2 linked regions of the Nothobranchius furzeri genome follow. The protein of the gene in region 1 interacts with the protein of each later gene in a pairwise test. Links are inferred from orthologs where the notes say so. Each region holds a gene or a part of one and is shown on either strand. Other genes may lie near its edges. The genes, in order: serine/threonine-protein kinase 4 and sav1.

Region 1 (3,828 bases):
CCACACAAAAGCTGAACATCGTTCTGGGTCATGATCTAAATGAGTCGTCAGTCATTGCAACCTGAATCAACTGAGTCAACTGAGTCATGATTGCGGCATTTGGGTTTTCACTTAGTAATTTCTGCACATTATTGGTCATAAATCTGTTTAAGTACAGTCATAAAGCAGCTCTCATTTCCTTACGGTGCTGCATTTTGCTGCGTTTGTTGGTTAAGAAGAAACCGACGTAGAGAATATACTTTTTTTTTTTCACCATTCAGGATTATTTGTGTACTCACCATGATACGCTGTGGGGCGTTTTCATGTTGTAACACCATAGCTTATTAAAGCCATGAATCCAGCCCTGAACCACACTAACACTGTATTTGTCACAGTAACAACAATACCCTGACACACTCGTGCATGCATGCTGTTTCACACTGTTAATAATCACACATGTGATTACTCTGCAACAGTAACTAATGCACACACATGCAGTCTACTTCAATTAATCTGTTGATCTTTATGTCCTTAAATGCAGGAAATATTTGTTGCACATGTTTTATTGATGCTAAAGGCCCTTTTTATCATGCAGGTGTGAACTTGACCACAAGTGTTGTTGAAAAAGACTAGTAGTAAAATAATCATTTCCTCCTTTAATTCAGTTGGAGGGACACTTGTATAATTCTTGCATCAGCTATCTGAACTGTATTAAATAGAATAATTGCTTTTCTATTGGACCTGAGCTCACTACACATTTAGAAGCCCCCTTTTGGCATTGCCTTGATATCTTTAAATGCTTTTATTCTGTTTTCCTGCTAAAACAACGTAACTCAATGACTCTTAAAGGTAAATTATTTCTGCAAAACTTCCAGTTTGTTGTGCAATAATCTGCAGCTGCACAGTTTATTAAACACAATAGCAATCGAATCTTAAGTGCAACTAATGACCTGCTTTTCAACGCCTATATGTTTTAGATTTGGTAACCGTTTTATGGAACACAGAGGAAAGTGTTAAGGATCTAGGATCGGTTAATATTTTACAGATGGAATATTTTCCTTGTCTAGGAGGAAGAAAGCACTAAAATATTTACTTTAGAAGCTAACTGTGGGCTTTTTACCGTTGTGAAAAAGTTATAAATTATAAAGTTAACGGGTCATCCCCAGGTCTTTGAATATAAAAGCAAGTTTCACTTTAATCACAAAATGGTTAAAGAATACCAGTGTCTTCATTTGTGAAGTGATTCAAAATAAGTAATCATTAAAGAGAATATTATTAGAAGAAAGCATTAAATAGACTATGCAACTTAAAATGTGTTCACGAACATCCATTCTCCTGTTGCTGCCATAGCATTTAAACCAGAATATTTGTTTCCTACGTCACTGATCATTTTTAGTGTCAACCCTTTTTCAGACCTTCAGTATTATTATTATTATTATTATTATTATTATTATTATTATTATTATCATCATCATCATCAGCTTTTTAAACCCCGAAGCTTTGCTGAAAACACTGCAACATCTTTACTTTATTTTTCATCTCCCTTTGGAAACTATTTGAATAAAAAAAATTAAAGATGTGTATTCCTGTTCTCTACGTTCAGTCTGTGTATTTAGTCATCTTGCATAGCTTGGTTCTTTTAAAACACAGAAAAAAGGCGTTGTTCTTCACTTGTTTTGCTAACATTTTGGCTAATTACTATAGCCATCATCAGTTGTGCCGATGTTGTCAATAACTCCTTTTTCTGTGTTTTTAAAACAACCAAGCAATGCAAAATGTGTATTCCTGACTGTTTAAATGTGGTTTTGGTTGTGTGTCACACAGGGAGAGATGAGACCATGCAACCAGCCAAACCGTCCTTCCTGGAGTACTTTGAGCAGAAGGAAAAGGAGGCGAACGATCACAACGATGGACGCAAAGAAAACAATGCAGACAACCGTAAACTCCCTCCTGAAGGAGATCTGGAAGTGGTGAGTTGGAGGTGCTAGTTTCACTCCTGGGGCGCTGCTCCTGAACTGCAGCTGAACAGTTAATAGCATTTGGTTGCTAGGGAGAACTGGAGAATTTTGGGCCAATCAGCATCTGTGAATGTAATGTCTGTGGATCAGAGCTATGACTTACTGCAGTAACACCTATTGGTAAAAAATAAAAATAAAACATCAAAGACTTCTGGTGTTTTTACTGTTGAGTCGAAGTTATGAGCATTAAAACTCCAGTATTAAACAAATAAAAAATGTCATTTGATTAAGATACTATGTGTTCAACAGTTTTGATAATACCAAATTTAGCAGCATCTGTTTATATATATTTAATATTTCTGGATTTCTGTTGATGTAATGATGCTATCAGACATGAGGTGTGTTTTTAAGCTAAACCTGCTTCTTCGGAGGTCTTATTAGTGTGAAAAGCAGCTGGTGTTTGCGTTGCTCTGAGACATTTACACAGAACCAACAGCTGCCACATGAATTAAATATTAAACATGTGACCTTTAGTATGTAACCAGCTCACACTGCTGCCTTTTACCTTTGGACATACACCGAAAGGCTGTTTGCTCGTCATGAAAACGTAGCAAAATATTTATATTTATGGATATTTTTACCTGTTACAAGTGAAATTCCTCTATAGTTACTCTACCATGTTTTCACTGAGGTTGTCAGGATTGTGGAGTTTTAGTTGACAGGTAAATATGTGGAGTAGCTTAATCATTTATTTCAGCCTATGTGGAGTAATGGTTTGATAAATCACGTAGTATCCAGATAAAGAAACAAAAACTTTACTAACACAAACAGAGGATGCTGATAAATATGCACAACGTGGAAAAAAACTCTTGCTTTTGTAAATGATGATTATTCAGATATGATTATCTTAAGTAACCGCAAAGTGATGGATAGCTTTGGGCCTGGTTAATGTCTAAGTGTTTCTAAAAACAGAACAAAAGCCCGTGTGCTCGAGTAAAAACACACACCAGTGTTTCTATTTGAGCTCAGATCTTTGCCTTTGTGGATTTGAAGTTGCTCCACTTTCACACACTGACAGGTAGCTGCTGCTTGACTCACATTTGACTCTTCAGATCGTTTTTAATTCACCACTTCTTGAACCCTCAGGTGTTGGGGTTGGATGATTATCCCCATGAATACATCACATCTAAGAATTTTAAGTATAAAACAATTATACTCTAATAATACACACACTTTGTACATAAATGATGCAATAGTTTAATGCTTCATGAGAAAAACAGCCTTTCCAACTGTGTGGTTTGATATTCTGAAATGTTCCAGAGTGGACCAGAATTTTAGTCCTGCTGTTGGACTGTTTTTATTTATTTTGCTTGTATAAAAATATCTGATCATCAGTTAAAATGCTGATTTAACAGTTTCAGTATAATTAGTCAGTTTTTTAGACTCATGTTACCCGTCAGCCTATGGAAGTCTGAGGGTAAGTGATAGTTAACGTCTCAATGTGTGGTGCTATAACAGAAAAGATGAGACACACACGCTGAGCTTCTATTAGCATTCAACATGAAGGTTTATTCTCCTTCTGTGTACTCACATAACTGAATAAACATGCAAGACCATATCACAGTCAGGATTTCACAGATAGCTTTTTCCATTTAAGTCATATTACTCTGATTCCTAGTCTAAGAACTCTTGCATTTTTAGTTGTATCAAAAAGATATTTACTTTTAGCTCTCTTTAACAGCTTTTACAGTTTTATTCTGAACACATGAAATATACATCGATATTTAAGCATTTTAACCTCTAAATATGCCCATAGCTTTAACAAGACACAACTATATTTATTCCTTACTGGAAGATGACAAAAAATAGTGTAATGTTTCTTACTCAACTT
Region 2 (4,322 bases), on another chromosome or scaffold:
TGTGGAGAACTCCCATCTGGTAAAGGCTCTGGAGAGAACTGAGCAGCGACATGAAATTGCAGAGAAAAAGAACTACCTGCTGGAGGAGAAGATCTCCACCCTGAATAAGATTGTACGGGATCTAAACCCGTCTTATCTTCCAGGGCTTTCTTATAACTGTAAATACGCATGATGACATCTCAGCATCTCATTTTCTTTTAATGTTCTCTATGTAAAATGGACTTTTACCTTCAGGGACACCTCTGTAGCAAATCCTACCAAATGGACAAGAATCTGAAGGTTCTATTGCAATTTTTTACTTGGATTTTTGCAGTATTTTTGTTATTCTAAGTTGCTGAACTTGCAAATATCAAGTCATATTTTAGACATTTTATTTCTCTGTAATTTATTATTTTACAAATATCTTAAAGTAGAAACTGTTGTATCATATATATATATATATATATATATATATATATATATATATATATATATATATATATATATATATATATATATATATATATATATATATATATATATATATAATATGAGAAATGTAGCACTGTTATGTATTTTGATACAGGTGTTTTTATCTCATTGTTTATTTGTAAGCAGCCATACGATGAAGGACCAGAATCGGTTTGTGATAAAATCATGAATCGTAATGGAGGTTTTTTGCTCCTATTTAACACTACTTGAAACTCTGCACACTTTTAATGTATGTCAAATAGTAATATTAAGAAAAATAGAAATATGCTTGTGAAACTATACTGCAATATGTAAAGTTACTGTTAGACGGTGCCATTATGAATGCTTGACTTTCTCTGCAGTGATGAACACTAAAGTGAAATTAGGGTGATGTGAAAATAAAGTGTATGAGCTGTGGTTGGTGGTTAATAAAAATCAAATAATGGTGAATATATTAGCATTATTTAGCCATATTCAAAGTTTTATAGTTTTGTTTTCATGGTTTTATTTTCCTTATAGTTGAACTTTTCTCTCTAACAATGTTTAGTTAAAGAGGCAATTATTCACAAAGCGTGTTTACAATAAGGTGAGAACTTGGAAATAAAGAGTATAAAAGCACTAGTTAAAGTGTCCATTGTTTTATTTTTTTCGTGTTTTGTCAACACACTTTGTACGTTTTTGTACGCCTGCTATCCGGTAGAGGGCGCTTTAGTAGCTGGGAGGATCGTAAACACCCAGCCCGGGTGAGGAGGGCCAGCTGTGGGACTGAATCGCTGCAATCGCTCGCTGTAGCAGCAGCTAGCCGGCTAAGCGCTAACTGTAGAAAATGTTCACATTCCGCCCGTTGTTTCCTGCCAGGGCTGCGGAGGATTGTGCCATGACATCACAGCCGAGTTTTTGACGTTTCTGAGCTTTGAGTTATGCTCTCACGAAAGAAAAGTAAAAACGAAGCGTCGAAACCAGCCGAGGTACACGGGAAATATGTGAAGAAGGAAACGTCGCCGCTCCTCAGAAGTAAGCGCAACAAGTAGTCGACTAGTTAGCTAGGGTTAGCATTAGCCTGCTAACTGAAGTTTGCCACTGTCCGCTAGTAAACTGCTCATTTAAAAAAACAGAATAAAGTTTATGGACACTTCTTATCTTGTGTTTTTTACGTTTTTAATTTGTCTTACTTTACGCACGACCCTAACGGGATGCTACATTGTAGTTTGCTGTTAGCTGAAGGCTATGGACTTGATCTGCATTTGAAGTTTTAAGTCGATTAGTTGCACCAATAAAGCAAATTAAATGTTAAATAAATTGCTGGGCTGTGTAAATAGTCATCAGAACTTATGGAGTCTGCTCTTTAAAGGATACTTTAAAGACCAGAGTACTCAGTTTCTGGTAATGACGCAAAACTGTCACCAATGAAGTTTAAAAACATTTAAAACTTGCTACTCTGCTAAATGCATTAGAATCCTGCAGTTTGAAGGTTTTCCTTCAAATATGAGGACTTGTCCTCAAGAACTATAAGAAAACGGACTCTGTCGGTGTCTAAAGTGCAGCAGCTTCTCTGCTCTTTCAGATATGCAGGTATGTATTTGAAATGACACAAAATAAAATGTTATCAAGTGTTTTATGGAGCTATACTTGGACAGTGCAGCCTATTTCCAGAACAAAGTACAACTTGTCAATAGTAAAATAATTTGATGCTAGCCAACAATGTTGGGATGTCTTGATGTGCTGAGACTCTTCAGAAATGTTTCTGCTGCAGAATATCATCTGTTTTAAGGCAGTGTTACTTATCTATAGCTATTAAATTGGATCAAAAGTTTGTGATTAGATAACAAATCATATCCATGTGTAGTAAATCTGAGCCTTCCTCCTATACACACACGAAAGATAATTAAATCTGCAATTATTCTCATCACAAGTCTCATGACATGTTAAATTAACCTAAATAGTTTATTTATTTTACAGATAATTTTACAATTTTCAAGTAAAATGTAACATTGCCAACCATTGCATCCTGGGTTTACCACATCGCCCCTTTGCTGGAGATGCTGTGTTCACCATTCATGATGTTCCCACTTACCTGTTTGCAGATCTCATGCCCTCATTCATCCGTCATGGACCTACTATTCCCAGACGAACAGAGGGGCCCCCATCCGAGATTGGGTCTACTTCCTACTCTGTGGCACCCAACAGAGAGGCTGTGGTGTCCCGTAACAAAAGTGTCCTCCGCACACCTGTACAGAGGCCTCCACATGAGGTGGCACGCAGAGAGAGCCACCGCCTGTCGGCACCTCCATACCTGCCTCGGAGTGTGGGAGACTTGTCCCACGAGTACAGGGGCTCGTCGCAATCCTTCCCCACAGAAGTGAGTCCCATGTCTGAGAACGGGGACGGTGCTCTGTACTACTACCCATCTGACCCTTATTATGAAAACCAGCAGCAGCGCCAGCCTAGGAGAGTCCAGGAATGCTTTCCTGATGACTATAGATATTATGAACACAATGAACACAACTTTCAAAGACTTTCTCACCAACACGCTTCCCCAGCTCCCAGCCGACCCCCCTCAGGTAAGCTTGGCATGCATTTGCTGTGTTCTTTTGAAAGGAATAGTTTGCAATATGTCTAGAAGCAGGTGTATTTTATACATGGCACACACATTCTTGAAGCGGGTCATTTATGACTTGTCAGCAGCAACATTTGTGGTTTAAATAAGAAGCTTAAACAAGAGCAGGATAATTAAAATCATACCAGGCAGTCGGCACCACAAAGTTTAAATAGATATGTTTTAGAGGTCAATTTTAAGATTTTAAACGTTAGGGTCCTATGGAAATGTGCAGCTTGTGTAAAAAGGCAGCTTTGGTGTATGGTTGAATGTTATGGAAAGTTTTAAACCACAAATACAAGCCGCGTGCTTTCAAGCTGAAATAAGCAGTTTTAGTTTAGTTTTTCTAAGAGTTAAAATATTTCCATCCCATTGCCCAACATTATACTATATAATCTGTTCTATGCGTGTCATTTTCATGAGATTAAAAGTGTTCTGAGGTCGCAGGAATTTTCTGTATTTCATCAAACAGAAGAGAACGTTTTATTTTGCGGTTGTCTTGTTGACAACTTGTATTCGTGTTATGACGACAGATCCACCTCGCTCGAGTCATGGAGCCATGTTGGAGAGATGCTGAGCTTTTTAATACCTTTCTATTGGCAGACTAATAATTTGTCCAGAGTCTTTGACTCGACTCTTAAATGGGTATGTGTGTTAAACATCCTCTGTTTGGAGAAGTAATGTACTTCCTATAGGGCTGATTGGCTAACGGCTAACATGAGCACAAACCAAAGTGGATTGCTGCCTTTTTAAAATGACTTCAGGTAGAAAATTCTCACCACTTGTTACAGTTGTTACTACTGAACAAGGAAAAGTTGTTGAACTTAGGAAAAGGTGGAATTGCGATGATTTTCTGGACCCCTTTAATGTTAAACATCACCCTAACACTGAACTCTGACACATTAGATGCGTTTGTTTGAATAACCGTAACTCCACGACGGTTTGTGCAGTCAGAAAAATTCTGACGTTTTTTTAAAAATGAGAAGTTTTGCTTTCAAGTCCACTTAGAGTTATTACGATAAATCCTGAGCAGAGACAGATGGGCAGAAGTCATTAATTATATCAGCTGTAGCAGCGCCATGACAAATAAGAAAATTGGAAATGAACTGATTTTGCAGCTCTGCCAGCTGAAGAATTGGGCTCAGCTCCCACCGCCCCCTGCCGCATAAACCTAGCTCGGGCTAGCTGTTAGCTCATTGGTTTTAATGACAAACATTTTATTTTCTCAAGCAGAAGCTGTTCATTAAAAGTTTGGTTCACTGAAAACCCATTCTTT

Evidence for each region.
Region 2: the proteins of serine/threonine-protein kinase 4 (region 1) and sav1 interact in binary tests that used the Homo sapiens proteins (3 or more experiments, as listed by UniProt). The link is inferred for Nothobranchius furzeri from reciprocal best matches to the Homo sapiens genes STK4 and SAV1.

Annotation. Positions count from the first base shown.
Region 1 is NC_091743.1:73,698,567-73,702,394, forward strand, and holds part of serine/threonine-protein kinase 4, read left to right. Parts: intron 1-1,803; coding exon 1,804-1,949; intron 1,950-3,828. UniProt on the Homo sapiens protein: Stress-activated, pro-apoptotic kinase which, following caspase-cleavage, enters the nucleus and induces chromatin condensation followed by internucleosomal DNA fragmentation.
Region 2 is NC_091758.1:19,778,141-19,782,462, reverse strand, and holds the start of sav1 (protein salvador homolog 1), read left to right. Parts: upstream 1-1,217; 5' UTR 1,218-1,370; coding exon 1,371-1,464; intron 1,465-2,534; coding exon 2,535-3,011; intron 3,012-4,322. Other genes in the region: nin (ninein), read left to right, coding at 1-172. UniProt on the Homo sapiens protein: Regulator of STK3/MST2 and STK4/MST1 in the Hippo signaling pathway which plays a pivotal role in organ size control and tumor suppression by restricting proliferation and promoting apoptosis.